2 linked regions of the Tamandua tetradactyla genome follow. The protein of the gene in region 1 interacts with the protein of each later gene in a pairwise test. Links are inferred from orthologs where the notes say so. Each region holds a gene or a part of one and is shown in the gene's direction. Other genes may lie near its edges. The genes, in order: TRIM2 and LRRC8E.

What was found.
Region 2: the proteins of TRIM2 (region 1) and LRRC8E interact in binary tests that used the Homo sapiens proteins (3 or more experiments, as listed by UniProt). The two-hybrid records come from large-scale screens. The link is inferred for Tamandua tetradactyla from reciprocal best matches to the Homo sapiens genes TRIM2 and LRRC8E.

The regions. Positions count from the first base shown.
Region 1 is NC_135348.1:13,956,516-13,972,873, reverse strand, and holds the start of TRIM2 (tripartite motif-containing protein 2), read left to right. Parts: upstream 1-7,830; 5' UTR 7,831-8,371; coding exon 8,372-8,413; exon of another isoform or gene 8,414-8,654; intron 8,655-16,358. UniProt on the Homo sapiens protein: UBE2D1-dependent E3 ubiquitin-protein ligase that mediates the ubiquitination of NEFL and of phosphorylated BCL2L11. Plays a neuroprotective function. May play a role in neuronal rapid ischemic tolerance.
Region 2 is NC_135337.1:84,291,677-84,308,033, forward strand, and holds the start of LRRC8E (volume-regulated anion channel subunit LRRC8E), read left to right. Parts: upstream 1-10,047; 5' UTR 10,048-10,126; intron 10,127-10,638; exon of another isoform or gene 10,639-10,768; intron 10,769-12,407; 5' UTR 12,408-12,593; coding exon 12,594-12,624; intron 12,625-12,672; exon of another isoform or gene 12,673-12,878; intron 12,879-13,245; coding exon 13,246-13,388; intron 13,389-13,755; coding exon 13,756-16,008; 3' UTR 16,009-16,357. Other genes in the region: PRR36 (proline-rich protein 36), read right to left, coding at 4-509, 681-3,251, 3,345-3,457, 3,705-3,804, 3,929-4,181. UniProt on the Homo sapiens protein: Non-essential component of the volume-regulated anion channel (VRAC, also named VSOAC channel), an anion channel required to maintain a constant cell volume in response to extracellular or intracellular osmotic changes.

The DNA.
Region 1 (16,358 bases):
CTTCCCTAAGGGAAAGTCTAGTTCAGTAGATCTGGATTGGAGTCTTTAAATTTGCGTTTTGACATGCATTCTAGGTTATACTTTCTGGGAATTTGGTACTCACTAGAAAACACAACTGAATATTTATAAACTTCTTTTTCAATGGATAGTTGTTAAATTGAGAATGCTTGCCTTTAGTTGGAATCAGATCCTGCCGAAAAGTTTACAAAGATGAATTATGTAACAACAGTAAAAACTGCTAGCCTTAGTATTCTTCACCCACACTGGGTACCTAAATGTACGTCTCTTAAATTTTCTTGAATTTCTATTATACAGTACATACAACTTTCAGATTACTCCGATATAAACATGGACCACTTCTCTTGTCCAGCATCTTTTTCCTAAATCAGGACACTTGGAGTGTCTTTGGCCAAAGCACCATGTTTTCTTGCTCAGATCCTAATACATTGTAGACTGTGAACTGATTACCGGGATCCTGGCATTGCTTCTCCTCCCCTCTGTGCCCACCCCACTCACCCAGAGCCCTGAGAGTCGTAGAAGCCCCTGAGGTTTGGGGATGACATGTCTGGAGCTGCTCCCTGGCATCGCTATTTGGAACTGAAAATTTCCCCACAGAAAAACTGAAGTTGGTATAGTGTCACTTTGCTAGAGTCTGAGTCTATTTTTGAATTTGTGGTCTGATCTGGATACTTACCACCATTAGTAATATTTCCATGAAAAAATATGTCTAACTACAAAGTTACATTTGGGAGGGGGCATCTGGGGGAGTGGTGGTGTTCTAGTTCTTATTTTGGATAGTGTTGGCCCTTATGTGAACCATTTGTGATAATTCATTGAGCTCTTCCCTTTGGTTTTGTGCACTTCTGTGCTTGTAAGCTACACGTATTAAAATTGTATATTTTAAAAAAAACAACATTTCAAATACAGCCTTTTGGAAGTTAGGGACAGACTACACTGGCATCTATTAGAAAGAATAAGAACATGATGCAATTGTCATATTTTCTCCACATGTTGGATAAAAGGACACTTCAAAAGAAACACTTCCATGGTTCTTTTCTTTTTCATCTTTAACGCGAGACTTGAACAGACAATAAGAATAAACCTAAGAAACACAAGTTCAAAAAAGTCCTCCGCCTGTTTTTATTGGTTTTGTGTTTTGTCTGAGTAAGGTTCTGATTTGAAACTTCAAAAGCATAACGTGTATTAAAAATAAGCAGATTTATGATGAGTGAGATTGTTGGCAACGACTTAAGAGCAACAATCAAGACCCCAGAGAGAGCTGTTCTCCTTTGGTCTTGGCTTTCTAACTGTTCCTCCTTTACATTTGGTTTTGAACGAGTGTGTGGATCTGTGGCATGGCCTGATGCCTCTGCTGATTAAGTATCCTTAGAGACTCAGCAACATCTTTTCATGGCTAATGGGTCAACCTGAGAAGATCAATACATCATCATTTTAGGAAAATATTATAAGAGAGCATGCTCTTACTCTAATGGAAGCCAGTAGCCATTTCCTTGCCAACTTCCAAATTGTTTTAAAATATTATTTTAGTGCTTATTTCCCTCAGTGGACTTTATTTTTAAAAATTTAATTGCTTATCCCCTTTCAGTTTCTTAGTCCCTGGACTTCAGTTGTAATTTTTACCAGTTTTCATTCCTCTCCCACAGTGGGCTTCAGTGGCTGAAGAATAATAGGGGCAACTTGTGCCTCATAAGAGGACACAAAAGGCAGCCTGCTTCCCAATTCTTTCTTTACCTTCAACCCTATAAAGGGCCCAAGATGTGATTCTGTGAGTTGAGTTTCTATTCCTTTGTTTAGACTGACTTTCTTCCATTTCTGTCTGACATCTTACCATTACCACAATCAATACATCTAAAATGAAGCTTTGTCTTCCCTTTCAAAGTAGCACTTTTTTTTTCTTGCCGTGTTTCTGTTAAATGACATTATTTCATTTGTAAAGCATTTTTGGGTTTCTGCTGTGTTATGAGAATCCAGACATGAAGAAGACATAGAGCCTACTTAAGTAGACTTCTCAAGGAGTTCACAGTATGATGAAAGTTATGAGTTGTATACACAAATAATCAGAACACTCAGGAGGAGGGCAGTGCCCTAAGTGAGATACAAAGGATAAGGGGTGCCGAGGAGGAGGTTATCCTCGTCTCAGAGCTGCCATTTGAACTTTGTTATCAGGGATGGGCAGGATTTGGACTGGGAAAGATGAAGAAAAGGCCAGACTAGGCTCAGCAGGCACAGACACCACCAAGACAAGAAAGTAACATTTTGCTGAAACCCAGGGAGTCGGCAGGAAAATGCTTTGGTGTTTAAACTTATGGCATAGAAGAAGGTTAGGTTCTAAAATGAGTACCTACAACGAGGGTCACAGTCCATAAATGACCCATGACATTCTGGACATAGCCTTGTTCAATAATTCTACTACTAGTTTTTGCCTCCAATGTTGCAATAGCTCATGGTTCCTTTGACTGAGCACCAGGTAAAGTAGCTGGCTTGTGGTCAGGGGCCATATTGTAGAGAAGAGGAGGGGAGGGAAGAATCCTGAATGGATGAGGATGTATTTTTAAAAAATAGGCTCACAATCATCATGGTGGGGTGCTCACACAACGACAGCCACAAGAGAATGGCAGATTCTCTCCAAGTTCCCCAAAGAAAAATGGAGAAAAAATAGGAACAAGTAACTTTACTTAAAGGAAATACTAATGATTAATGATCATATTAAAAAGTTCATTTCACTAGTGATCACATAAATATGAATTTCAGAAACTTCAGTATATGCTTTTCCACTATTAAATTAGCAAATATTTTTAAACGTTCACATTGTTAAAGGTGTGTATCTCCATCTCATGCATTGAGAATGGGGAAATATTTATTTTCCTTTTTTTTTTGGTGCATGGTTGGGGAATCAAAACCAGGTCTCCCACCTGGAAGGAAAACATTCTGTCATTGAACCACCAGTCCACCCAGCCAATGGGAGTATAAATTAGTACAAACTTCCTAGAAAGCAATTGTGTAATGCTTTGCTGTCCTGAGAGCCCTAGAAATGTTAATGCACCATGACTTGATGATTCCACTTAAAGTCATCTGTCTTAAGAATATAGAAATGTGGACAAGCATTCGTGTTTAGCAATTTCACTGAACATTTATTTAGAATAATTGGAAATTTATAAACAATCTAAATGTGAACACTATGGAAATTGATTGCAATGAATGACATATTCTTCGACTGTTTAAAAATGCATTTTCAAATAATTTTACTGACATTAAAATGCATATTATATGACATGTTTTTTAAAAAAGCAGACTCTAAAATTATATATACAGTAAAAATATGCATTAGAAAAATACAGAAAGAGACAATAAATGGCAAGTTTTGTTCATTCATTCTTACAGCAGATATTTAAGCCTATTTTATGTCTGGCACTGTATTTATCTCTAGTAGTAGGTATATAGATGATTCCATTTATTACGTATACTTTTCTAGGTTTTCTGACTTTTCCAGAGAATTTCATTGCTTTTTATTTAAGAACATATAACATAATAAATCCATCATTAGGGCCCAAGTCAGTCCATCTCTTCACAAAATCTTTCTTGATTACCCTAATAGGAAGGATCACTCACTTTTTCAAGTGAATCTTATCATATATGACTTTATTTCCAAGTAGTTTGGGAACTCTAGAGAACAGGGATTATGGTTAAGAGGTTTCCAAGCAAAAGCCAGCTATTCTTCCCCATCTTCTCCATGAAACCTTTTGCAATACTTGGAAAAGTGGGTAATTCCTCCTTCCTCTGGGTCCTCAAGTGAGTTTTTTTTAAAGACTTCGGTTATGGAGTTAACCATGTTTGTCTTGGCCTCGCTATTAGGCTTTCAGCACCTTATGGTAGGAAATGAATCTGTTCCTCTTTGTTCCCCAGGTGGTGGCTTGCAGAGAGTGTGTGCTCAGTAAACACTGGTTGAACGGATGACTATCAATACAGGCTCTTTCTAGCTATTGCTGACAGGTGCCCTATAATTACTCCCTACTCTGAAGAATTACCAATTATTGTAGGAGTACAGAAATAAATAGGTGGGATAAGAAGCAGCCTACAGAGAATAAGCAGACCCAAATCACTGGGCAGTGGCAGGCATGAAGCCCAATCCACCAGAAAAATCAACCAAGAAACGCATTCACTTTAGACTCATGATGCCCCATTAATACTCTTTAATTCCTCTCTGGATGCTCAGAGCTTTATCATTGCAGCCTTATTTTCTTTAACTATTTCACAAATAACTAAACATGAATTCCCCCAAAGCATTCCACTCTTTCAGTAATAAACTGAACACCACAGATTTGCCCTGAAACCCAATCTCAGGCCCTAATCCTCTAAATGTGACCATGTAGAAAAAAGTTTAGAAAAGCAAGGCCTGCATAAATACAGTTTTAGAATAAAAAGTAAAATTAAGGAATGAAGCATGAAATTCGCTTTAATGTACATTTATTGCTCCAAGTTTTTGCAATGTCTTGTCCTGGGTGCTGAGGGGGATCCAAAAATTAAATAGGATACTGACCTCATGCATAAGATCCCATGTAGCTCTAGCAGTATCACAGAGGAAAGGTGGCAGGGAGTGGCAGGAGCCTTGAGAGGGGTGGGGTTGCACATACCTACCTGGGTTCTGGGCTAGGACTGGACTGGATGGTGGTAAGAAATAGATGGGATGGCTGCTGAGGTAGTCATGGCTCATTGGAGTTAGTAGTGGCCATTTATACCATAGTGCCCAGGAAATGGAAGATGGAGGTGGAATTCAGATAGACTAGGCATAAAAAAACAAACACCAAGGGTCTAAGGCAATATCAGATAGAAGATGTGATGTGAGAGGGACTGTTGTAGAAGAAAATATAAAAGGATGGTATTTAACCCAACCTGGTGCCTCTCTCAAGGTCCTTAGCTACCGACAGCAGAAACTATTCTAGCTTAAGCATTAAAAAGGGATTTATTAAAGAATATTGGAATATCTAAGAAAGTGAAAAAAAAAAACAACCCGCAGAATGAGAGGAAATATTTTCAACTCATACCCAGTAAGGGACTAGTATCCAAAATATATAAAGAATTAATACAGCTTGTGCCGATTTGAATCTGCTGTGTACTCCAGAAAAGCCATGTCCTTTAATTCTCATTCAATATTGCTGGGTGGGAGATTTTTGATTATCCATGGAGATGTGACCCACCCAATTGTGGGTGGTAACTTCTGATTAGGTGGGTTCCATGGAGATGTGTCTCCACCTATTCAAGGTGGAGTTGCTTACTAGAGCGCTTTAAGAGGGACCCATTTTGGAAAAAAGCTTTAGAGCCATGAAGCCAGAGACCTTTGCAGATGAAGAAGGAAAACACCCCCGGGGGAGCTTCATGAAATGGGAAGCCAGAAGAAAAAGCTAGCAGACTTCTCAGTGTGCCCTTCCAGCTGAGAGACAGACCCTGAACTTCATCGCCCTTTCTTGAGTGAAGGTAACCTCTTGTTGGTGTCTTAATTTGGACATTTTCATAGCCTTGCCTTAATTTGGACATTTTCACGGCCTTAGAACTGTAAGCTTGCAACTTAATTAAGTCCCCTTTTTAAGAGCCATTCTGTTTTTGGTATATTGCGTTCTAGCAGCTTGCAAAGTAGAACACAGCTCAACAATAAAAGGACAACTAACCCAATTTTAAAAATAGGCAAAGGGTTTTAATAGACATTTCTCCAAGAAGACATGCAAATGTCCAATGAGCACATAAAAAGATGCTCAACATCATTATTCACTAGAGAAATGCAAATCAAAATCACAATGAGATACTATTTCACAACCACTAGAATGCTAAAATTAAAAAGATACACAATAACAAATGTTGTTAAGAATGTGCAGAAATTGGACCTCTCATACACTGTTGGGTGGAAATGTAAAATGGCGCAGCCACTGTGGCAAACAGTTGATGAGTTTCTCAAAATGTTAAAGAGAGTTACCATATGACCCAGCAATCCCACTCCTAGATCTATCCCCACGAGAAGTAGAAATATATGTCGACTTAAAAACCTCTGCATCAACGTCCATCATGGCATTATTCATAATAGCCCAAAGTGGAAACAACCCAAATTGTCCATTATCTGATGAATGGATAAACAAAATGTGGTATATACACATCACGGAATATTATTCAGCCACAAAAAAGAACGAAGTATTGATATAAGTTACCACATGAATGAACCTTGAAAATAGTATGCTATGTAGAAATAGAAAACAGCTTCCCTGCAATCTGCTTTCTCACATTGCTTTCACACTTTGAGGTTTGTCCATCCAACTGCCAGTGTGTAGGTTACATTTTCAAGCTGGGAAAACAGATTCTGGCATGGGTGGCAGTACTCAAACATAGCAAATGTCCTAGGTAGACGGCTTTAAAGCCGTAGAATGTTGGAGCTAAAGGGCCCTTTGATCTTCATCTACTAGTCTTACCATTTGGTCTGATGACAGCCATACTGCCAAAGGCAATGGGCAATTTCTGGTTGTACCTTGCTTGACTGTCTTAAGCATTTGGCAATGTTGACCACTCCTTTCTTGAATGACTCTCTCTGTTTGTGGATTACCTCACTTCCCCCTTTTGAATAGTTTTCCCCTCAGTTTTCATTCCAGGCTGCAATCTTTGCCCAGTCAAAGCCAGTATTTTTTCATAACTCCATCTTCAGTCCTGCTCTTATAACTCAGTTTACATTCTGTGAATTTTTCTGCACCCCTGGATGCAGAAATAAGTGGACAACTGTCTAATCTGTATTGCTAGCCCCTAATGGTGTGCTGAGTTACAGACCCAAGTGGCTGTTTTGCTGCGGGCGCACCTACATTTAGATAACCCACAGATACCACACATTTACCTTGTTTAAAACTCATCATTTCTCCTGATCATACTTGTTCTTTGTCCTTCATTTTTCTTTGCTGATGAATGGCACTTCATCCACCCTGTTGTCCATGTCAGAAACATGGGTAATAACCTTCAATTTCCCTCCCCTCTCTGTTACCAGGCATCATGTCCTCAACATCCTACCTCTCCTACCTTTGGACTCTTTTTCTTTCATCCTGACCCCCGACCACACCTTTCCTAGGTGGGCTTCCTCTCACATGGCTTCCACTGTAATCTTTCTAAAATGCAAATACAATCAGGTCATCTCACTGATTTAGATCTTCCAGAGGATACCCAAGGCCTTCAGACAAAGGTTACATTCCTTGGTTTAGCAGACAAGAACCTCATCTCTCATCTTGCTTTCTGCAGCCATACAGGAGTTCAGACTTTCCTTCTGTTTCTCTCTTTATTTTACCTGATGTCTGCTCAGTCTTCAAACCTCACATTCAATCTCCTCTGGGAAACCTTCCTTGATTCCCTAGTATGATCTAAAACCTGCTTCTGTGTTCCTGTAATCCTGTGGACATAAATATCTATCATAGCAATTTCACAATGTACTGAAGTTGTTAGTTTTCTTGTCTTTTTCCCTATGAGAGTGTAAGGTACCTGCGGGGGGGAGGGCGGCACAGTGTGTGTCTCTGTGTGTGTGTGTGTGTGTGTGTGTGTGTTTGTGTATGGGGACTTGATGCTTTTTCCAACTTTATATTTGTAGCCTAGTGCCTGGCACATAGGGGGCACTCAAAAAATGAAAAAGGAAAATAAGGAGGGAGAAAAACTTCCTATCCTTACCTATTTTACAGAGTAAAAAGTAAGACCCAGAGGAGGTAATTTCTCCTCATTTTCAGGGCCGATTGTGTCATATTTGACTCGTTTATCAGAATATACTTAAAGTAAACCTTAAATTATTCTCCTCTCTCACATTCAGGGAGTTGGGACTCTAACAATGAAGAGTCCCATAATGGAGGCTGGCCCTTTTCTCTTTCGGTCCAAACTGAAATCAGTCCTTCCCCCGAAGGGGCAGTGTTTGCATTTGTGTTTACAGGACTTGGAGAGGACACGTTTTTAGTATACTTGAAAAAAAACGAGCCAACCCTTTTTTTTCTGACCCCCGGGCTGCGATTGGCCCATCCCGGGAAGCCGGCCAGAAGAACCCTTAATCATCGCTCTAGGGAAATGTTTCTGGAACTGGCCACAAACTCATCTGTTTGTTTTTCTGCTCTTTGTGCGGGGATTAGCTGGCGTGCGGGGTTTGGGAATGCTGCGAGAGCCGGGCAGTGCTTAATCCAGGATTTGCCTCCGCCTCGAGGCTTATGGAAAACAGCTGCCTCCCCGTCTGGGACTGAGCACAGAATGGAAATGACCAACCAGAGAGCCATTGGAAACGGAGATCTCCGAGTTAAGGTCCCTGAAACCCAGCCAGGAGGCAGATTTTCCTCCTCTTGCCTATTTTTACTACTTGATGTCACTGCTGCCCCAGGATTATCAGCCTACGGCTCTCTCAGTAAGCGTTTGGCGATACAGTAGTCTCACCTTCGTGCAGCCGTCCGGCCGCACCATCGCGGCTGCGGGGGAGGAAGAAGGAGGCGGAGAGGAGCCGGCGCCGAAGCCTGGGTCGCCCGCCCGCCGCCTGATGGTGTGAGCGAGCAAAACTCGGCCGTGGGTGGTGGCCGGGGCGCGGCGAAGCCCGAGGCGGAGTCGGCGGAGGCACCCTCCCGAGTGCGCGTGGGTTTCTGCGCTTCGCAGTAAGTGGTCGCTTGGCGCCGCGGCGTCCGGCTGTGCGTGCTGGGCTACGGACAGTGGGCCCGACCCGGGCTGCCTGGACGCTTTCCCTCGGGTCAGAGTCCAGGCACACTGAGGTGTGTAGGAAGCCGGTAAAAAAAATTCCATTTCCGGATCCTCGCTGCGGTGGGTAGAAGCCAGCTGCGAGTCAGTGCTGGGGTGAGCCGGGCAGCTGCAGCGCGTTGCCTGCAGCCGCTGCATTGCTCCCGGGCCAGGCCCCTTCCAAATGGCTTTTAAAGTCATTGTGCACCGAGAAAAACGAAAAAGATCCCCTGAAGGTCTTAGAGCAATAGCTTTAATAATTTTGAAAGGGTGGGTTTCCTCTCCTCCGAACCCCCGGTTATTTTTCTGAAACTACACAAACAGATTTCCTTCCTATTAACTTCCACTCTTAGCCTGTGCCCGAGCTCATACTGCAGTCCTGGCTTGTAAGAGGAGGAAGATGTTGGTTTTTGAAGGTTGGGCGACTCTTTAATGGATTTAGTCACGGGCATTCGTCAAGTACAGACCCGATGCTGCTTATAAACGGGTTAAAAGGTTGAGGATCGGGAGAGGCGTTTGTCGGATTAATTGCCTGTTAGATCCAAAGCATTCTCTGAGCCCCGAATTCTTTCCCACCTGTAATCCAACCCCGTAGAACAACTGGTTCCTGTTTCCTCGCCCCACCCCTACTCTGTACATCACCAGCCTTAATTTTCAGAACTGAAGCAGCTTTAGATTCAAGCACTTTAAAAACAGGTAATTTTAAACCACTAAGAGTTCAAACATCCAGAAGAGTTGGGTTAGCCCCTAGAAAGGGGGTGGTGGGGGTTGTTCCTCTGGAAGTATATCCTGCTATGCTTTTTTTCAGAAGTTTTTAGCCCCCCCCCCCATTTTTTACATCAACTTTTGCATCATTATTTTTAGAATATAGTTAAAGTCTTGTTGCATGACAACTTGTACTTCTCTGTTCCTTTAAGGCAAGTAGAGGGAGTAGGTATTGTACTCAGTTCATTACCTTGGGGCTCTGTTGACCTCTAGTCTCAGATTTCAACTTGATTTCATCCTTGGCCAACTATTAGTACCTGCCTTTCAGCTCAGAGAAACAAAAGAGCACCATTTTAACCAGAGACATGAGGGATTTGATTGAGTGCTTTATGACGCACATTTTCTTCTTCCCTTTCAAACCTGGATCCATATAACAATTATGGATCAGTTAAAACAAAACAAAACAAAATTCCACCATGTTCCTCCCTTAGGGCAAGTATGGATTGGTAGAATCAGTTGGGGCCACCCACATTAATGAAATGTCTTCATGGTGAGATAATTCAGTCCTGTTCTGAACAGGTTAGAAAAGAGCTAACATCGGTTCTCTTCACTCACCCTCATATTTGCACACTTTTCCCAGTAGCCTCCTTTTTCCTTCTAACCTTTTCTGTACCATCCTATTTAGGAATATACCATGGTTCTATTTAGGATCATGGAATCCAGGAGATTATTACCTCTCATAATAAATGTCAGGACTCATTTAGGTGATAGTTTCCCTTATCAGTATTCTCTGATAACATTATTCTAACTCCTGTTTGTATTTTCCTGGTAAAGTCTACTTCTGTTAAATCCCCCATTGGAAATTCCAGTGTATCTGTCAAAAGTAAAAGTGTATCTACATCTTGTATTATTTTTCTTGCATCATCATTTTAATGCTGACATGCATGGCTTCCTGCAAGATGGCAGTCAGCTCATTATTTCAAAGTGCAAGTGGAAGGAACTCCTTATAAGACACTAAATATAAACGGGTTAGGGAGATTTTCTGAGAAGGAACATCTTCCACTCTGAACTTTTTGGTCTGCCTCAGTGTTGAAATCTGACCTTTGAATTTCTGTCCTTTGACTACTCTAGAAAGAGACTTGAGTGATCTCTTTATTTGGCCCTTTTACAAACAGCGGTAACTTACCATCTCTCTGAGCATTGCCGGTACAAATTTATTGGAGATAGCCCAATTACCAGATTGGTAACCTTTGAAGATGGCATCCTGAAATCCTGGGGCGATAACATTGTCAGAACTTTCTCCTTCCCCAACTAAAAATGACAATTGCTTGGTTTACGCCAAATCCATCTTGAATTATAGATTCCCAGAAGACAAGAATTTTTCTCTGTTTGCATAGGCACTAAAAGTTTGTGCTGGTAGGAGCTGGTGAGGTGCTTTGATGTTGCTGCTAGTGATGAATATAATTATGGGCTTTTCTTTTGGGTTTCATGAACAATGGTGCTTTTCCTTTAGGGATTCATCAGAAATATTTTCCAGGATGGATGTTGGGGTGGCCTATCTGAAACCATTATCTTAAAAGGGTTGAGGGCAAAGTCTGAGGTGTTCTCATACTCTGCCACCAATAGTATTTTATTTTACTCATATATTAGACCTTGAAACTGACTGACCTGCTAATTGGCATAAAAAGTCCTTGTAAGTTATCTGTGAGTTTATTATTTTCTCCAGAAGAGAATGGTAGGTTTTTGAGATAAGCAGGTAAAGGGGAAATTTAGGGCAGTAAACACTGGTATTGTAAAAGGCCTATTTACTAACTACTCAGTTTTGTGTATTTTTTGAGATCTTAATGGAGTTCAACCGAAAAACTGAGCTTTTGTTGACAAATGTTTTTTCTTACTAGCACTGGTTCCTTCCTATGTAAAATAATTGTTTTGCACATCTTGCCTTTGAATATCATCTTACTACTTGAAGAAATAGGTTCTCCCTAGAATTTTCAATACCTTCTCCCTTTTCGTAGCATATTATATATCTGGATGAAACTCGTTTATGCAAAAGGTTCGGCTCAGAAGATTAGAATGTGTCCTTCAGTCAAACAAAAACATTCTCTCTGTCAGCATCTTCACTAGCTTATGACAGCTCAGAAATGCTCAAATAGAAGCTGTGGTTACAGGTTTTGCTTCAGCCTTGACTGCATTAAAATGAGTCAACCTGTAAATCATGCTGGTGTCTGGAACCAGAGCAGTTTATAGAAATATGCTCAAGGCTGTCAGAGCTCTGAAAAGCGATTATCCTTTTCAGTTACCATGTCCTTAAGGTAGGTGTTTTTCACATTTCAGAATACCTACCAGATGTCTTTATTTAGTACAAATGTAACCATTGATTTAAAACAAAATATCAAGAGAAACATGGTCTTGCCACCCTGCTATCCCCTGTTAGGATCCAGACTAGCATTTGAGGACTCTGATTACTGCCCTTTAGGCAGGAGGATGATGATTTTAGAGACCAGAAAGTAAACAAAATGGAGACTCTCAGAATAAGGACACTCAAAAGGAGAGCTCTGATGGAAGACTGAAAATGTGAAAAATTAAATGCAGTGTTTTTTTCCATTCCATCTGATTATCTTTATTTATTTTTTAAAATACTTTATTGAGATATCTTCATTTACCGTACAGTCCATCCATAGTATACAATCCATGGCTCACAGTATCATCACATTGTTGTGTATTCATCACTATGATAATTTTTAGAACATTTGTATCACTCCAGAAAAAGAAATAAAAAGAAAGGATGTCCTTACAAATAGGGAGAAAAGTATAACTAATGAATTGTCAGTGGCTGAGAGAGTTTAAATAGAGTCAGGAAGCTACGGTGGAGGTCACTCTTACGCATGCTTCAGTTAGACACTGCTACCTATCATAACTTGCCAAGCCCCAACCAGAACCATTCCTGCCAATCCTAAAGAACACCTAGGGCAATATGTAAGATTCTACAAAGGTTCCATGCTTAGGGTAACTTTCCATAACCTAGAGCCTCCAGACGGGTCCTGAAATGCAGACGGGCCAACCCTTACAGAAAATTAACTAGTTCCATCCTCCTGTCCCATAGTATCAACAGCCTTTTCCAACATGAGAAAGTTAGAAGGGGCATAGCCCAGACACCCCTAAAGAGTGGGAGAAAGATCAAAGGTGATGGTGGAGTTTATACAAAGACGGTTGGGTTTAACAAGTGAATATGAGTGCTGAATTATTACACTGATATTTCTTTTAGCCTCCAGTACCTTAGAGCAGCTAGAAATAAAAACCTAAAATTGTGGAACTTTAACCCGTACCAAACTCTGAAATCTGTTCTACAACTAATTATTGCAATGTACTTTGAAATTTATTACTTTTATGTATATATATGTTATTTATTTATTTATATTAATTAAAGAAAAAAAAAGAAATTAACCCAAATCGTTTTATAGATATTTTTCTTCCTATATTGTAGAATAGACAGAGGTTAAAGAGAAGGAGGAGTATAACAGAAGATAGGATTTAACAAATGAGTATGATTGCTGAATCGTTATATTGATATTTTTAATGGTATCTGTGCTGGTTTGAAAGGAAGTATGCCCCCTAAGAAAAGCCATGTTTTAATATACGTCTCATTTCGTAAAGGTAGGATAATCCCTGTTCCATGTTGTATGTTTGAAACTGTGATTGGATCATCTCTCTCGATGATGTGATTTAGTCAAGAGTGGTTGTTAAACCGGATTAAGGGACGACATGTCTCCACCCATTTGGGTGGGTCTTGATTAGTTTCTGAAGTCCTATAAAAGAGGAAATATTTTGGAGAATGAGAGATTCAGAGAGATTCAGAATGCTGCAGCACCATGAAGCAGAAAGTCCACCAGCCAGCGACCTTTGGAGATGAAGAAGGAAAATGCCTCCTGGGAGCTTCGTGAAACTGGAAGCCAGGAGAGAAAGCTAGCAGATGACACTGCATTCTCCAGGTGCCCTTCCAGTTGAGAGAGAAGCCCTGACTGTGTTCGCCATGTGCCTTCTCACTTGAGAGAGAAACCCTGAACTTCATCGGCCTTCTTGAACCAAGGTATCTTTCCCCGGATGCCTTTGATTGAACATTTCTATAGACTTGTTTTAATTGGGACATTTTCTCGGCCTTATAACTGTAGACTAGCAACTCATTAACTTGCCCTTTTTAAAAGCCATTCCATTTCTGGTACATTGCATTCCAGCAGCTAGCAAACTAGAACAGTATCCAGTGTCTTGGAGCAGCTAGAAGAAAAAAACGAAAAATCATGAAACTGTAACTTATACCAAACTTTAAAATCTGCTGTATAACTACTTGTTAAAATGCACTTGGAAATTTATTCCTTTTTTTTGTGTATATGTTATATTTCACAATTTTTTTAAAAAGTGAAAAAAAAACCAAACCCATACATCCCGTACATCTTCTCCCTCCCTCTGACTACTAATATGGTGCTCCACTCATTTTTTTTTTACTCCTTATCCCTGCCCCCCATTATTATATTTTTTGTCCATATTTTTTTACTCATTTGTCCATGCCCTGGATAAAGAGCTTGTCAGCCATAAGGAAAACCCAGTTTTGATTTGGATCGTTCTACTGTTACCAGACAAAGGCAGTGGATTCTTTTGCCCATGCACTTAAGTGACCAATTCCTGAAACACCAGGGTTTCAAAGAGAAAGAGTTTATTACTGCAGGAGATCAGATGGCCTGTCAGCCCAAAAATCTGTCTCCCAGAATTTAGTGGGTTTAGGATATTTATTGATTCTAACAAGGGGAGATGAAGTCATTACAGTTTCAAGTAAGTGTAAGTAGAAAGGGAGACAGTTATCATTTAAAAATGTAAGCTGGAAGGAGGAAAGGCTGAGTTATCATTTCAATGGCAGAGTCTGGGGCATACAATTTACAAATGTGAAGGGCAAGATAAGGGCTTTTACAATCATTCCAGATATTAGGGCAGCTGAATTAAAGTTCGGAGGTTTCGGGTATTTCCCTCTGTCTACTCCAATATACCAGAAAGCAAGAAGGGATATCTATGTAATGATTCAGCAACCATAATCGTCCCTGAAATCATAACTTCTCGGTTACACCACCCAGTCAGGAAGAAGGAGGTAAAGATATTTTCCAAGCCCACGCCCCAGTTAGAAGATATTAACTAAGCAAGCATGTTTGGGGCGTCCTGTTTTATGATCTCCAAATTGCAATAATGTAATAGACAGAACATAAACCAGGAGGAATTTTCCAGTCTTGGTGGTGGCATTAGCCATTAGTGAGCATATTTTGCACACCAATTTCCTCAAAAGAGTTTCCTCAATTGGGAAACCAGGTCTAGGGTGGTGCTGGGGCATTCGTTAGTGGTTCGGCTGCAGACACCTCCAGAGGAAAATGAGATGGCCCCTTCACCTGAGATTTGCTTCCCCTGGCAGCTTGGCTCTTTCAGCACAACCTGGCAAAAGTGACATTGGCTCCTTACCAGCAGCACTCCTGTCCTGTGGGTGTTCCTGTTTCTGTACTGTTCCTTCTCCATCGACCAGGCAGTAGGTGCCATCACGGTGATCCATAATGGGAGCATTCCTAGAGGGTAAATTACAGACACCCTTGAGTTTTGCATTAAGAGGATGAGATCAGGTTGTCTTCAGTCATGAACATAGCCTCTCAGACTAAACAAAGAAGTGTTTTTTGCTGACCACAGGCAGTTTATTTAAATTAGGATTCCAGGTTCAACAGTCGTGTTAAAGCTGTGTTATAAAACTGCCCAATAGTGTGAAGTTTCTGGGCCTTTGCCTTGGAATAAAAAAGACATTAGCTGATTTGAACAACATTTGCATCTTATTGGTTTGCCTGTATGTCCTTGACTATTTATTTATGATTCTTTGGGAATTAAAATAGTGACCTAGAAGCTGAGGATGGGGACGGAAAAGCGTAGGGATTTGCAAGATACCCCAAAGAAAGGAAAGTAAGGGTCAGGTCTGATCCAACACATGCACACACCCCACTTTTTTAAGGGGGCAGGGAGGTAATTCAGGATTGACAATACAGTTTCCTTAGCAATGCAAAAGACTATTTCAGGGTGTAGTAATCTCTTCACTTGGTATGTGAATTTTCTCTTTCAGATTTGGGGCAGCTGGCTTTCCTTTATCATCCAGTATATGCCCAGGGCTTTTTCCACTTACCTCATGCACTGGGTTTTGCTTATGGAAGGCAAAATAATTACCTTATTAGTCAATGATGAAATTAATAGAAGTGAACCTCTTCTGAAATGCTACCAGATATTTTGGATACTTCCTTATTTAGCCCCCAGAATGTTCAAAGGCCCCGGAATCAGCTACTTTCTATACATAGACCTTGACTCCCATGTCAACCACACACCCTCCACCTGACACCCCATCCTCCTCTCATTCCAGGTTTGAACATTTGTAACTGAGAAACTAAGAGTTAAATGATTATGGACTACTGAATCATTTTATAGATATTTTTCTTTCTATATTGTAGAATAGACAGAGGTTAATACCTGAAATTACTGAAACTCAACTAGTCTCACCCTTGTTTATATTTATATTGTAATGGTTATTCAAGCCTGGCCTCCTCCTGGGTATACTTACTATTATAATGATACCAACTCCATCTCCCCTCTTTTGAATTCATAAAACCCCTGAACTCCTTAGACTCCTTAGGGAGACAGATTGTTGAGCGGATAAGCCATCTGATCTTCTGCTTTATGCATGGCAATAAACTCTTTCTCTCTTTGAAGTCACATGGTGTCTCAAGAATTGGTCATTTGGGTGCATCCAGCTGAGAACCCAATGCTTCTGATCTGTAAGACCTTCCTCATCACCCCTTTTTCTTCACCACTCAAATCTTAGCCATCAATTTAGCACTTCCTGAAATCTCTAGAGT
Region 2 (16,357 bases), on another chromosome or scaffold:
GGCTCAGTGGAAGGTCTCCACCTCCACCACGGTCCAATCGCCCTGCGGGGAGGCCACGTCGTCCGGAGAGAAACTGGTGACCGAGGTGATGCTGGCCCGGGACTCGTCCAGTGGCGAAAGCAGCTCGGCCCAGCGGCCCAGTTCGGCTTCGCTGAGCGCAGCCCGGGCGCCCCCCGAGACGCAGCCTCCATCCTCGGCCCCGGGACCGCCGCCGCCCGTGGCACCGTCGGCCGCCGCCAGCAGCAGCGTCCGGCTCAGCAGGTGCTGCACGACGCTCGCCTGCAGCGCCCCCAGCGGAAGCTCGCCCAGGCGCGCCGGCTTCGGGCCCCGCGGGCTGGCCCCAGCCACAGCCGCAGCCGCCGGCTTCCCAGGGCCCGCGCCAGGCCCAGGACCTGAATCCAGCGCGCCTGGGGCGGGAGGCGCCGACTCGGGCCCCTCCGCCTCGTAGATGGTACAGAGCCCGTCGGCGGAGCCGGGCCCGGCAGTGGGAGGCCACGGCAGGGGAGCTCCTGCAGAGAGGCGCCGCGCTAGGCCCAGGGAGGAGGGAGGCCTGCTCCCGCAGCCACCCCTGGGCCCGCCCCACCGCCACTCGGCCCCGCCCCCAAAGCGCAACTGCCCCGCCCTCTGATCCCCCGCACCCCGCCCAGCCTTGGCCCCGCCCGCCGCGGAGCGCCGCTCACCTGGGGCGCCGCGGCCGGCCAGCGGCTGAGCGGGGCCCCGGCTCCAGGCGGCCGGGTGGCAAGAGGCGAGGTCCGCGTCGGCGGGCGGGGAGGCCGCGGCACAGCCCTCGGGCCCGCTGTCGTAGCCGCGCAACTCCTCGGGCGTGCTTGTGGCGCTGCTGCTGTGGCCCGCCAGGTCCGGGCCGCTCAGTGTGCTGGAGGGGCTGCGCGAGGGCGGCGGGGGCGGGCCCGGGGCCAGCGCCAGGGTCAGCCGTGGGCCCGAGAGTGGGGCATCGGGACCTGGGGTCGGCGGGCGGCGTGGGGCCTGCAGAGGGGGTGAGGCAGGGGGAGAGGGCGGGGCCTGCAGGAGGGGTGAGGCAAGGGGAGAGGGAGGGCCCTGCAGGAGGGGTGAGGCAGGGGGAGAGGGAGGGCCCTGCAGGAGGGGTGAGGCAGGGGGAGAGGGAGGGCCCTGCAGGAGGGGTGAGGTAGGGGGAGAGGGCGGGGCCTGCAGGAGGGATGAGGCAGGGGGAGAGGGGGGACCCTGCAGGAGGGGTGAGGCAGGGGAAGAGGGCATGTTATGGAGAGGGGGTGAGGCAAAGGGAGAGGCCTGCAGAGGGGGGGAAGCAGGAGGGGAGGGCGGGGCCTGCAGAGAGTGTGCGGCAAGGGGAGAAAATGGGGTCTTCGCGGGGGGTGAGGCAAGAGAGGAAAGGCCCTGCAGAAGGGGCAAGGCAGGGAGAGAGGGCAGGGCCTGCTGAAGAGGCAAGACAGGGGGAAAGTAAGTGTCCTTCAGGAGAGGTGAGGCAGGGGGAGAGGGCGGGGCCTGCAGGAGGGGTGAGGCAGGGGGAAAGGAAGGGTCCTGCAGGAGGGGTGAAGCAGGGGGAGAGGGCGGGGCCTGCAGGAGGGGTGAGGCAGGGGGAGAGGGCGGGGCCTGCAGGAGGGGTGAGGCAGGGGGAAAGGAAGGGTCCTGCAGGAGGAGCAAGGTAGGGGGAGAGGGAAGGCCCTGCAGGAGAGGCGCGGCAGGGGGAGAGGGAGGGCCCTGCTGGAGGGGTGTGGCAGGGGGAGAAGGCGGGACCTGTAGGAGGAGTGAGGCAAGGGGAGAGGGAGGATCCTGCAGTAGGGGTGAGGCAGGGGGAGAGGGAGAGCCCAGCAGAAGGGGTGAGGCAGGAGAGGGCAGGGCCTGCAGGTGGGGTGAGGCAGGGGGTGAAGGAGAGCCCTGCAGAAAGGGTGAAGCAGGAGAGGGTGGGACCTGGAGAAGGGGAGGAACAAGGGGTGGGGCACGCAGAAGGGTAGAAGCAGGAGGAGAGGGCAAGGCAGGGAGAGAAAATGGGACCTTCAAATGGGGTGAGGCAGGAAAGGAAGAGCCCTGCAGAGGGGTCGAGGCAGAGAAAGAGGTCGGAGCCTGTAGAAGGGGTGAGGCAGGGGGAGAGGATGGGGTCTGTAGAAGGGGCAGGGCAGGAAAGGGAGGGGCCTGCAAAGGCGGGGAGGCCAGAGAAGGCGGAGTCTGAAGAAGGGGTGTGGTCAGGGGAGAGGGGGGACTCGATGGCCGCCGAGGCAGTGTGGTCAGAGGTGCGGAAGAGGCCAGCGGAGGGAATGTGGTCGTGGAAAACGTGGTCTCGAAGGCGGGCGGAGACAGAGTAGCTGCCTGACCGGAGGAAGTGACCAGATCAGAAAAAAGAGGGGGTGTGGCTAGGGGGACAGGTCGGTGAAGCAGAGACGTTGCAGGACAAGGAGAGGCCTGAGGGGGCGTGGCTGGTGGAGGAGGAGCCGGCGAAGAGGGTGTGGCCAAAGGAAAGGGAAGAGTGGGAAGAGGGGCCACAGTTAGGGGATGCTGGACAGGGGGCATACTCTTTGGAGGGGGTGGGGCTGATGGAGCGATTGGAGCGAGAATGTTGGGCGGGGCCGGGGGAGAGGTGGATGCCTCCGGAAAGGCTGTACCTTGACAGGAGGGTGCAGCTTGCAAAGGGGCCGTGGCGGGTGGAGAGGGGAGGGTTTGCAGAGAGAGTGTAGCAGCAGGGGTAGGGGCTAGTGGAAGAGGCGTGGCCAGTTGACAGGGAAGAGCCTGGCGAGGGGGCGTGGCCTGAAGGTGGAGTTTGGCTGACAGAGGGGGCGTGGCTTGTGGCGATGCAGGGGGCGTGGCCCGCAGTCGAGGGGCCGAGCTCTGGGGAGGCAGTGCCGTGGGACCCCGTGGAGAGGGTGTGGCTAAAGGAGAAGGAGAAGCAGCGGCCTTCCTAGGGGGTGTGGCCTGCGGAGGGCGCAGAGAAAGCAGCCCTTTGGTCTTGGGCTGGGAGGGATGTGTAGGAGCCCGGGCTGTCCCACGGGGCGAGGACTCGGAGCGGCCGGGGGAGGGCAGCGGGGTGGCGCTGAAGCCCACGGATCGCGAGGCTGGCCTCTGGAGAGCCCCGCCGGCGCTAGGTAGCCTCCTGGTGGCAGGGCCCGGCTCCGTGGTGCTGCTCACTGATCTCCTGGGGATCTCCGTCGCGGGCCGAGGCCGAGCACCCGGAGCTGGCCGGGGGAGCCCTGCCTCGGCGCCCGCAACCCGGTTACGACGGATGATAGTCGGGGAGGAAACTCCTGGGGCAAGCCCGGAAGAGTCTGGAGACAAAGCAGAGAGTCGCGGGGTCACTGTTACCCCCAGGCTGGTCCCCCTCGCTGCCCAGGAGCCCCGCTCCTCCTCGGGTCACGTACCTCTCCGTGCCGTTGCGATAGGGCCGGTTTTTCTGGGGGCCTCTGGGACTTTTCCTCTAGCCACAGGCTCCTCAGCCGAGGGCCGCAGCCCCTTTTGGCCAGGAGGCCCCGACCTGGGAATGGGGAGGGGGGGGTTTACTCAGGTCCCTAGCTCCTTGTTTGACCTCCCAATTTTCCATTTTCCCATCTGTGAAATGGGATATGTACCCTCCTTGCGGACCAATAATACTTTCATCCATCTTGTGCCCAGTGATCTCCAAGTGTCTTCCCATTCCAGTTCATATGTATAATTTAAAGATTCCAGATAGTGACCGAAACCCTCGCCCTGGGGACTGGGTTGGGGGGTGCGGGGGGCTTTACCTGGCGGTCCCACCGGCACGCGCAGGGCTAGAGATAGAGCTCGGGACGGGCGCCTTGGTAGGGGCCCGCTCCCCTCGCCCAGCTGCTGAGGGTCTGGAGGCTGCGGGGAGAAGGCCCAGTCAGTCGCCCCAGAAGGGCAGGGCAGGGATGGGGCTGGTGCCTCGGGAGGAGGGGGAGGCTGGAAGATGGGTCTGGACTGGGTTCGGGAAAGGAGGTCGGGGTACCTGGACTCCGGGGACCTGCCCCGGCACTCCGTGCTGGTCCCGCCCGGGAAACTGCCTCGGAGAGAGCGGCGCCCCCAGCTCGCTCCGCCAGAGACCTTCGCCCTGCCGCCGCGCCCAGGACTCGGAGGGTGGCGGTGGTTCCTGGGGGAGGGGGCCGCAGAGACCCTGGAGGCCTGGGAGCGGAGAGGCCGGGAGGGCGAGAAGCCGCTGTCCGCGCGGCGGGCCCTGCCTTGGTCTTGTCCCCCTTGTCCATCGCTGCACCTGATGAAGCGACGAACCCATCAGCATCAGGTCCTGGACCGCTAGGCTGCCTGCGGGGACTCTGCCTCGGGGGCCCGCACTGCTTGCCTGGCCACCCACGGGCACCCAGACCGCGGCCTCGGCCTAGATCCGCTCCCCGCCCACCCACAGCCCCGCTGCTTGGGTGTTGTCCCCAAGTCCCACCCCTACCGCCTTCCCCAAATGCCGGGCAAGCTGGTCCATCCCAGCCCACCCCCCACCCCGCCTCTGCTCCCTTTCAAGACCGAGAAGACCACCGGCCGCAGGAACAGGGGGCTGCCACGGGCTCCGGAAGAGGGGAGGGGGTCCGGAGACAGTCTCGGCGCCCTTCCCGTGTCTCCCCGAGGGACCTCGGCACCTGCCCCGAGCAGGAGCAGCCCCGGCTGCCCGCGAACGGGCTCCGGGAGACAAAGAGCGGCGTCCCGGGCCCGGCCCCCACCCCCCACCCCCCCACGGGCCCTCCACCTGCTGCCGCCGCGCTCGCCTCCTGCGCTGGCCTCCCGCCGCTCGCACGCAGGGTAGCCTGGGGTGGGGCCCGGCCGGAGCGCCGCGGTGGCCGCGAGGGCCGGGGAGAAGAGGGGAGGGGGCGGCGGCGGTGGGGCAGCCGGGTGGGGCCCAGCCTACTGGCCGCGGGCTGGAGAGTCGGGGGAGCGCGCGCGCTCGATGGAGACCCGGGCAGGCGGCAAGCGGGAGCGCGCCGCCGGGGCGGAGGGGGAGAGGCGCGCGGCGGAGGGGAGGGGCGGCGGTTCTGGGGTCTGGGGGACCCGAGTTCGCGCGACCGCCGGACAAGCTCAGAGACCCGGTGGGAGGAGCTTCGGGAAAACCCGGTGGGGTCTCTCATCTACCCTCCTACCGTACCCCACGACACGCATCACCTGCCCCGGCCCCCCTCCCCCCAGCCACCTGGCGACCAAGGCCCTCCCGGACGCGGATAGGCCGGGCCCTGGCAACCGGGAGGTGGGTCCATCGCGCCTCGGGCGCAACCGGCCAATCCAGACGCTCGGCGTCGCCGGTCCGTGCACGACCACGAGGGCTGGGTCCCCTAGGATCCTGGGGGGGCTTCCGTCCCTCTCAAACCTGAAGGCTGTTCCCGGACCCTAGGCAAATCCCCAGCGTGGTGCTGGTGGGGAGCTGCTGGCAGACAAGCAGCTCTGTGAATTTAAAGATGTGTGGCAGACCCAGATTTGGGGGAAGAAAAGAAAGAAAGGTGGAGAGGGAGGGAGAGAGATGAGAAAGTACTGCGAGAGGTGACTCCAGGTCCCTGTAGGGTAGGGCTCCTCCAGCCTCCTCACCCTCCCAGTTCACAGGAAGGGGCTGAGGTCCTCAACAAAGGCTTCCTGGTGAGCCAGGCTTGAGGGGTGGAGTGGCGACAGAATTTGGGGGGTGGGGAGTGGGAGGGGCAAAAACAGGCGCATGAAGGAAGGGGCAGAGAAGATTCTGTGCAAGGGCCGCAGCCCTGCTGGAGGATGTGGGAAGTGTCATTCTGGTGATCTCACCAACTAATGCAAGGGCGCGTTCATAGGGGCCATTAGCAAGGAGGGGGCAGGAGCATGAGCAGGGGAGAAGGTTATTTTCATTGCCTGCATGGGCCTCTTGAAACACCCCCACTTGGAGCCCCATCCTTCCAGACTCACAAACACCTCCTGCCCCATCCAGAAAAGCAGCTCTCTCTGCCCACAGCCCTGTGCCTATCACACAAACACACTTGAGCAGTCCATCCCTTCCTAGAACTTAAGTTGCTTCCCTGCATGGAGAGTCAAGGGTGGGAATTGGCATTTACATGAGCCAGGGGATTGGCAGGTTTAACCCGGGTATGCCTGGAGGCAGAGTTTGGGGGCCTCCTCGCTTCAGGAGTTGTGCCCACAGTTGAGGTTCTGTGGATGGAAGAGAGAGAAAGGTGGGGGCATCAGAACCGAATGCCCTGCTTTGGCTGGTGGAAGAAAACCCACTCCTTCAACATCCTCTCCCTTCGATCTTGTAGAAGGGTCCCTTCTGAGCTGCCAGGGCATTGCCCTCTGGAATGGATCCTTCTAGGCCTCCCCACCTCCCTATGACTACGGAAGGGGCCTGTGTGAGCCCCTTCTCCCATGACAGCAGCCTGAGTCACCTTACAGCCTGCCCACACACCTGCCGGCTGTGACTTACTGAGTCCGCACAGATGCCTACTTGTGCCTTCTGACTATGGGCTATACCATATCTAAACTTCACTAAGTGGGATCTGGACCCTACCCTCTTATAAAAACACTCTCCAAACCATCGATTAGCAGGAGAATGGGTAACACAACCCCAAATAGGCCTGACAATGGAATAATACATAGCAATAAAAAGAAACAAGCTTGGGGTGAGGGGAAGCATAAGAACTCTGTACATTCTGCATAATTTTCCTATAAACCAACAACTGGTCTAAAAAAGGAACAAGCTAAAATATGGTATCAAAAACATTAGGCGGAATAAAAGAAACCAGCCACAAATAAAGGCATGCACTGTATGATTCCATTTATTTAACATTATAGAAAAGGCAAGCTAATTTTTTTGTGACAGAAAGCACATCAGTGGTTGCTGGGGGGAGTGGGGGTTGGAGAGGGAGGGGAATAACTGACCCATCCCGTTTAGCCACTCTCAGATTCCTGACCCTTGGAATCTGTGTGAGGCAATAAACACCTGTTGTCTTCAGCTATTTCTTTTGTTGGTAGTTTGTTAGGCAGCAATAATACTGATCAAACATGGGGTTCGCTGCCTGATGCACATAATAGCCAGCGTGTGACACGGAGTGTGATGGTGAGGTTCTGGTGTCAACTTGGCCAGGTAATGGTCCCCGGTTGTCTGGTCGGGAAAGCACTGGCCTAACCATAACTGAAAGGATATTTCATGGCAAGTTGATTATCCAGAAGACTGGTCTATTGAGCCATCAGTCAGCTGATTGCATCTGTGGCTGATGACATCTAGGATCAACTAAAGGAATGTCTCCTGTAAATGAGATCATCCTATCAGCTGGTTTTGATCGGATCAGTTGACTTTTAAAGGAGAGGAGAGAATTTTCTTTTTCAGCCAGTGAGCCTCTCCTGTGGAGTTCATAACGACCCTTCATCAGAGTTGCCAGCTTCACAGCCTGCCCTACAGATTTTGGACTCTTGCAATCCCACAGTTGTGTGGGACACTCTTATAAATCTTATATTTACAGGTCTCTCCTGTTGGTTCTGTTTCTCTAGCAAACCCTGACTAATACAACAGAGTGAACTAGGGAGAAAGAGTTTATTGCTGCATGAAGCAAGAACAGTTGTAGCCTAGGGGCCTAAAATCTGTCTCCCTGAGTTTAGGATTTTTATGGATTCAAGGAAGGGGCCATGGAGTTGTTACCATTATAATAAGTATAAATGACTATGATATTCAAATATAAAGGGCAGACTTAAGCTAGAACTAAGCCAGAATAACCATTACCATAACAAATATAAACACTATAGCTATCAGTTAGTTCTGGGTGGACTCAAGTTTCTACACTAACATTAGGGTGATCATAAGATGCTAAAGTTGTGAGAAAGGGTAAGGAGGTACCAGCAGGGCCACTCAAGAGGCTTTTACAATTCGTAATTCAGTGGGTTTCAGTAATTGCAGATATTTCCTTTTGGCTATTCTACGATACACTAGAAAGTAAGATAAGGGCATCTATATAATGATTCAGTCATCCTGATCATTTGTTCAATTTTAATTTCTCAGTACAGCAATGGATAATTACCTCAGATTCACAAAATCTTAAGGATATTATCAATGTTGAAAACTCCACACTCTGCCAGTGGGAGTGAAACTGATGCAGCCTTTCCGGGAAACGAGTGGAAAGCTCTGAAACTGCATGTCTTATGACCTAGCCATTCCACTCCTGTGTCCGTTCCTGGGGGCAGGTTAAAGAGCCCCCTCTGTATCCCCTCAGCAAGGCTGGAAATGCTAGGGAGTTAACTTCCTCTGTCTCCCAGCCCCACCCCAGAGCAGCCCTTAGCCAATGACAGACAGGAGCTGGTGGATAACTATTTCAACTCCCTCGCTCCTTGAGTGGGACAACTTGGAGGCAGACTGTATACCATCCCCCAGAGACCCCCAGCAGAACTGAGTCCCGGTAGGCCATGGTGGTAACGCGTTCATTCATCTTCCTGTCAGTAGCCATTAGTGGCTTCCTTCTCTGGCTGTCTCACTTCCTCCTTGCTTCCTGGGATCACCTGCTAGAGAAACTATTTGCATCCAATTCCCTTGTCAGGGTCTGCTGGTGGAGGAGCCCATGCTAAAGAAAACAACACCTCCATCATTCACGCATCGCATCCATCATTTACTAAGTGGCTGCTGGCTGTTCTGCACTGTTCCAAGTGCTTGGGGATACAGCAGGGAACAGAAGAGACATGTGCCTGGCCCACATGGGGTTTAGGTTCTAGTGATCCCAGAGATTCTTGCACAACGTGAATTTCAGCATATGATTGGAAACAAACACCCAGGGCATGGATCCCAAGGAGAGAAGCTTCTCAGGAGACAGGAAGAGGTGAAAGGGGAGATGACACAATCTCAAATGTCCCTTCCTCTGTCATTGCTACCGTCTCACTCTGCCTTATTGTATGCATGGCACTTTTCATAAACCACTATTATCTTGCACATTCAGTGTCCGCCTCTCCCCATCCCACTAGGACAGAAGCTCTGTAAGAGTGGGAGAGGGGTACGGCTTATCTATAGGTGGCCCACCATGGAAGCTTCCGGGCCTGGGCACACAATAGGTTCTGATTAGAGATGCTGGACAGACCTGAGCCCAGTCTCTCCAGGGCTTGTCTTTGGGCTGCTGGGTTGGGGATCAAGCCCAAAGGGCCTCTTCCAGGGCTGGGTTTCACCCATCATCTACCTGAAGCAACAGAGGAACTAAGCTTAGGGGATCCCAATCCTCAGGGCTTGGGTTTCAGGCTGTCTCAGAGCTGGTGAAAAGCTTTGGCTTCTTTTCCCCCATGGAAGAAGGGTCTTGCTACCCCCGTCCTAGTCCCTGTTCCCCTTCCACTGACGAGAAAGGTTCTTCAGACTGAGAGCAGATCAACAGTCAACTGCAGATGCCCCCCAGGCGTAAGTGGGAGGTTTGCACAGCTATGAGCTAGGCCAGGTCTCCCCAGGTGGGAGGAGAGGTTGGGGGTGGTAGAGAGGCAGAGCCTTCCTGGGGAGAAGCTGGGCCTCTCAGATCCAGATTCCACCCCCAGCTCCCAGATTCTTCTTGTTCCTGCACCCCGTCAGGACCTGGGAGCAGCTTGGTGCAGACCCCTTTGGGGTTAGGCACAGCACTGGGCGTGGACAGACAAATGAGCACCCTGCCTCCTACCTGCTTCCCCTAGCTCAGCCCAGCTTCCCCAGGCCAGAGGGGGAAGGAAGAAGCCCTCAGCCCACCCCCACGCCAGGAAGGAGCAACTGCTCAAGTGTTCCCTGGTTAGGCCCTGCCCTGGGTCTTTGAGGACTGGTGGCCAAGCACTGCTGGTGAAGAAGAGGCCCTCCCATGCTGTCCTGCTAGTGTCTCCACAGCACAGCCCCAAGAGGGGCAGCCATGGGACGATTTTGGAGCCCAGGGCCTCCAGCTCCCTCAGTGTCCCCCTCCCTAGGGGCCAGCAAGACTGCAATGGAGCCCAGAGCTCCTCTGGCTCAGCCCCTGGCCCAACTTGGGCAGAGCAGGAAGAAGAGTGTAGGGAGCTCCCTCCTCCCCTGACCTTGCAGCTCCAGGGGTGGGAGTTGACCTGGGAGAGCCTGGGGGAGGCGGGCCGCTAAGGGCAGGGCGGGGCTGGCCAGCTCCCTGGCTCCAGTCCTTGCCTGCCCGCCCTGACTCACCCTTGCTGCCCGGGAACTCTGCTGGAGTCCCAGCCACTCTACTCTGCTCCTAGGACCCAGGAGTTGGGCCCAGCGTCCGTCAGAGAGGTGAGTAATTACTCCCAGCTACTGGTAATGGGGTGGCAGGGTGGGGGTCAGACTGGGAGCCTGGATCCTGCAGAGGGTAGGAACGACCCCAGGTACAGCTGACACAAGAAGGGAGGGGGCAGAGGCTCAGCCCCAAAGGTGCCTGTCCAGTGAAGCTCAACTAGGTAGAGTCAACCTCAGGGGGTCTCAACCACATGCCCCTTTCCTTGGCTGCTGGGAAAACAATAACAACTCATATTTGTGAGTCCCTCAGAGCCCTAAAACCCTACCACTTGGGGTCTGCATCAGCCTGCTGTCTGGTGCTCTTGAACCTCAAAACTCCCCAAGCCTGGGCAGGGGCAACTTGGGAAAGTACCAGGCTGGAAGTCCACAGGCCTGGGGTCTGATTAAGTGGTGATTCTTCCCCATCCTGGACCTCAGTTTCCTCTTGTGTAATAAGAACTCAGACCCTGTGCTCTCCCAGCACCCTGTCAGTGCTGATGGCAGTCTGCTGTTTCTTCCTTGCCCCTTAGGATGGACTGTCCGGGGTGGAGGAGCTGGGGCTGGGCCAGAAGCACCTGTTCCCCCCCCCACCAGCAAGAGCTTGCTCCCCACTCCCCAGGTCTTTGGAGGCAATCTGGGGCCTTGAGGCCCTGAGAAGGGGTAAGCATGGTTGGGTGGAGCAGAGGCTGGGTGGAAGCCAGGTATCCACTTTTAGGCTGGCAAGATTCTCCCCCACCCACCCCCACTCAAAACCTGGCAATTTTCTCCATCTCTTCTCTGCCTGATTGACCAGTGCTTTGGGGTTCTGTTTCCAAAGATGCTGCATCCACAGAACAAGAGTGGAGACAGATCAGATAGGGGTAGGACGGATAGACCGCTAAGGCCACTTGCCAGTTGCACAACCTTTTCTTCCCTGAATGTGGAATACGAGGCTCCCAGCACCCACGCCTCACAGAGCTGGAGAAACAGAAGCATTTGAGGCATCTGGTGTTTGGACATTGCACGGCGGTCTTTACTGTTCTTTTCCTCTGGGACTCCATTCAGCGAGCCTTTCTCCCCAGCCCACCACCCCCGCCCTGCTCAGACAAGGGGGGCAGCCATGTCTGCAGAGACTTAATGACAGGTTCGGAAGTATCAAGCTTGAGTCACAGAGACAGATAATGATAACCCCCGTATCTGCTTCTGATTCTGTGTATATCTACAGCACGTTCTCAGTGCCTGTGCTGTGCGCTGGGCCCCTCGGTATTTCCACTTTCTTGCCTGTAATTGAGGGCAGTAGAGCTCATGAGATTGTAAGATGGGTCCTGAGGGGTGGCAGGGACTGGGGCGGGAGGTCAGGTCCCCGCCTGTGTGTGGCATTTTTTGCCACAGACCCCCAAGTACTATTCTTAGGTGAAGCCACTGAGCAGGTCCTGACGTGGCCCCCAGTGGGGGAGCAGGGAGAAGAGCTGGTGGTCAGAACTGAATGCAGGTGATAAGGCCACCGATTCTGGCTCTCCCCTCCGCTCAGTGTGTGTGTGTGTCCCTTCTGGTGGCTGTGTCTGGAGTTGGTACCTGCCCTGGGTGTGTTTCCGTCAGGTCCCCTAGAGACTGAGACTGACCGAGAGGCATGTGTGCATTTTTCCCGGGCTTTTGCAGAGGCCCAGGAGTATAACGGGAGCACAAGGGACGGCCTGGGCAAGCAGCAGCAATGTGCTCTGGGCCACCTCCCTTGTGTGTGTGTGTGTGTGTGTTCCACGTGAGTCAAGGCCTGAGTCAGGAGACCCGTGAGGCTGGGCACAATGGAGAGCCCATGTATGGGCAGGTGGGTGCCTGCTCCCTTGCGTGCAAATGCCCCGAACTGAGGAGGGAGCCTCAGAAGGAAAGGATTAAGGGGTGTGGTGGCCTGCCCAGCCCTGAGCCTCGTGGGCAGGGTCTAAATCCTGTTTCACCTCTAACCCCACCCCCAGGCCCCATCATCAGCCAAGAGACATTCCAAGGCCTTCAAGGAACATGGGGGCAGAAAAAGAGTGGAAGTGTCAGAGTGAAAGGCTGAGATGGGGCTGGGGAGTGGGGGCAAGTTTGCCCCAGACCCTTCCCTAGGAGATGGGGGGAGGCTAGAGAGAAGCAGCTGGCGGCCCAGATGTCCTCCTTCCTCCCTGGAGATGCACTGTCAGGTTGAGGACACCTGCATGAGAGGACAGGGGAAGCAGATTGGCAAGGATGGAAGGATGAACACTGGGGAGGTGGGGCTGGCCTAGGAACCCCTTCAGAGGAGGTAGAGGGCCTCCTTACTGCCTCCCTTTTCTTTCCCCTCCAGCCTTGGGGAGGAGAGGAGGATCCCAGCTATCACAGAGGGTGATATCCCAGCTTGTGGCTGACATCCCAGGAGTGACTTGTGCCTGGCTGTGTCGCAATAATGATACCTTGGTCTGAGAGGAAATCTAGGGACAGGCAGAGTGGGCCCACCAGGTTAGAGGATCACCTCGACAGCTAAAATGAACTGATGCTCCGCCCTCTGCCACCTCAGAGCCCAGGTATCTGTTTCCTACCTCAGATTCTGGGCTCAAACCCAAGTGTCCTGCCCCCTCATCCTCCTCAGGGCTGACAAGCCCTCTGTTTGGCCACGCCCTGTCCCTGGGGCTCTGGTAACCATAGCCAGCTCCAGCCGGCTTTTCCGGTTGGAGGTGGTGCCCCGAGTGTCCCTGAAGGAATAGGAGGGGGTACCGGGTCTGGTCCCAAGCCCATATCCGGAAGTCCTGAGCCTCGCAGGTTCTCAGGTCCTGAGGTGGTGAGAGCCGGGACTGACAGCCAGGACAAAAGTCAAAGGCGACCAGAGGGAGGGCTTTGGGCCTTGGTGTCATGGGTGGGAGGGCGATGCCGGGGTTCCAGAACGTGGGGGACAGTGGCCCTGTGGACTTGCCCCTCCCGAGTGCTGGGCAGTCAGTTGGGGCAGGGGTGCCGGGGAGCCAAAGAATGGTAGCCGCTCAGCTCTGGGAGGGAGGTGGAGTCTGAGGGTCAGGAAAGCTCGTGGGCAGCTTGTGAGCTGATTTTGGCAGGAAAGAGAACAAATTGGGAGCAGAGGCCCATGTCCTCTGGTTCCCCCAGATGCCCCTTCCTGACAGCATGGATACCCCCACCCCCCTCCTCTCCCTTAGGCAGGATGATCCCGGTGGCCGAGTTCAAGCACTTTACCGAGCAGCAGCCCGCGTTCAAGGTGCTCAAACCTTGGTGGGATGTGCTGGCTGAGTACCTCACCATGGCCATGCTCATGATCGGGGTCTTCGGCTGCACTCTCCAGGTAAGGGGCCTGGCCAGGGGAGGGGTAGGACTGGAGGTGAAGGGGGGGGAGGCCAGAAGCCGCCTTGTAACTGAATGAAGAGGAGGGAGTGGGCATAGCCCAGTCACACTCAAAAGACCAAACTGGATACCTTTCCATCCTTGCTATCAGCGGCAGTGGCACTCTGGTACATCTCTGGAATCTAGAAAGTGCTGCCATCGCCTACTCCTTTTTCTCATACAAACACCAATGCTCAGAGGTCTAGCAAACTCTTCCAGGATAGCAGGAAGTCAGGATGGGGGCCTCCTGCCTTCAACCGACTTCTCTCAACCCCACTGCCCTGGCCTCCAGCCTTCTCACCTGGTACTGCCCTCTTTCCCAACCCCAGGTGACACAGGATAAGATTATCTGTCTGCCCAGTCACAAACCCCGGGAGAACTCATCAGAGGTGTCGTGCCAACAGCTGCTGCCGCGGGGGGTCTCTGAGCAGATAGAGGGCCTCCGGGAGGCAAGTGGCCTCAAGAACAATCTGGACCTGCAGCAGTACAGCTTCATCAACCAGCTGTGCTACGAGACGGCCCTTCATTGGTATGCTAAGTACTTCCCCTACCTCGTAGTCATCCACACCCTCATCTTCATGGTCTGCACCAGCTTCTGGTTCAAGTTCCCAGGCACCAGCTCCAAGATCGAGCACTTCATCTCTATCCTGAGCAAGTGCTTTGACTCGCCATGGACGACGCGGGCCTTGTCCGAGGTCTCCGGGGAGAACCACAAGGGCCCTGCTGCTGGACGGGCAACGCCGGCTGTGGCTGTGGCTGTGACAGCAGGGGCCGGACCAGGGAAGGCAAGTGAGGGCGAGAAGGCGGTGCTAGTGGAGCCTGAGAAGGTGGTGACTGAGCCGCCAGCTGTCACCCTACTGGACAAGAAAGAGGGTGAACAAGCCAAAGCCCTGTTTGAGAAGGTCAAGAAGTTCCGTGTGCACGTGGAAGAGGGTGACATACTGTACTCCATGTATATCCGGCAGATAGTGCTCAAAGTGTGCAAGTTTGTTGCCATCCTGGTCTACAACGTCATTTACGTAGAGAAGATCAGCTTCTTGGTGGTGTGCAGGGTGGAGACCTCAGAGGTCACGGGCTATGCCAGTTTCTGCTGCAACCACACAAAGGCCCACCTCTTCTCCAAGCTGGCCTTCTGCTACATCTCCTTCGTCTGCGTCTATGGGATCACCTGCCTCTATACGCTCTACTGGCTCTTCCACCGGCCCCTCAAAGAGTACTCCTTCCGTTCCGTGAGGGAGGAGACGGGCATGGGTGACATCCCTGACGTCAAGAACGACTTCGCCTTCATGCTACACCTCATAGACCAGTACGACTCACTCTACTCAAAGCGCTTCGCCGTCTTCCTCTCCGAGGTCAGTGAGAGCCGCCTGAAGCAACTCAACTTGAACCACGAGTGGACACCTGAGAAGCTGCGGCAGAAGCTGCAGCGCAATGCCTGTGGCCGGCTGGAGTTGGCCCTCTGCATGCTCCCCGGGCTGCCCGACACTGTCTTTGAGCTCAGCGAGTTGGAAGCGCTCCGGCTGGAGGCCATCTCTGACATCACCTTTCCCCCGAGCCTCTCGCAGCTGGTGCACCTGCAGGAGCTCAACCTGCTGCACTCACCTGCCAGGCTGCCCTTCTCCTCGCAGGTCTTCCTGCGGGACAGGCTGAAGGTGATCCGCATCAAGTGCGAGGAACTGAGGGAGGTGCCCCTCTGGGTGTTTGGGTTGCGTGGCCTGGAGGAGCTACACCTTGAGGGGCTCTTCCCCCCAGAGCTAGCTCGGGCGGCGACCCTTGAGAGCCTCCGGGAGCTGAAGCAGCTCAAGGTTTTGTCTCTGCGGAGTAATGCTGGGAAAGTGCCCGCCAGCGTGACCGACGTGGCTGGGCACCTGCAGCGACTCAGCCTGCACAACGACGGGTCACGTCTGCTCGCCCTCAACAGCCTCAAGAAGCTGGTGGCGTTGCGAGAACTGGAGTTAGTGGCCTGCGGGCTGGAGCGCATCCCCCATGCCATCTTCAGCCTCGGGGCACTGCAGGAACTCGACCTCAGGGACAACCACCTGCAGTCCATTGAGGAGATCCTCAGTTTCCAGCACTGTCGCAAGCTGGTCACGCTCAGGCTGTGGCACAACCAGATTGCCTACATCCCTGAGCACGTGCGCAAGCTCAGGGGCCTCGAGCAGCTCTATCTCAGCCATAACAAGCTCGAGACCTTGCCCACCCAGCTTGGCCTGTGCTTTAGCCTCCGCCTGCTGGACGTCTCCCACAATGGGCTACACTCCTTGCCACCCGAGGTGGGCCTCCTCCAGAACCTGCAGCACCTGGCTCTTTCCTACAATGCCCTTGAGGCCCTGCCCGATGAGCTCTACTTCTGCCGCAAGCTTCGCACCCTGCTCCTGGGTTACAACCACCTGAGCCAGCTTTCGCCCCAGGTTGGGGCCCTTAGGGCCCTCAGCCGTCTGGAGCTCAAGGGCAATAGATTGGAGGCACTGCCAGAAGAACTTGGCAACTGTGGGGGGCTCAAGAAAACGGGGCTTCTAGTGGAGGACACTCTTTATGAGGGCCTGCCGGCAGAGGTGCGAGAGAAGATGGAGGAGGAATGAGGCCAGGGTGGTGCACACCGAGGTAGCAGGAGGCCGTTGGATGCTTCTGCCCCAGAATCTCCACCACTGACTTCAAGGAAGGTGTGGGTTCAGGCCAGAAGAGGAGGGACAGACATGCCAGCCTTGTAAGGCCCGGGCAAGACGGTGGGACTGGTTTGTCTGGGGAGAGACAGAAAGACTGTGGATTTGGAATGGAAACCCACGCGGAAGGATTAATTCAGTCATGGGATTCCCAGGGCAAAACCACACTTGTGTCTTTGGCTGGCTGGCCTGTGCCCAGCCTTGGGCCAAAAATGCTAACTACCCTCCCTCTAGACATTCCAGTTCAGTCGGTGCCATATATGGTGGT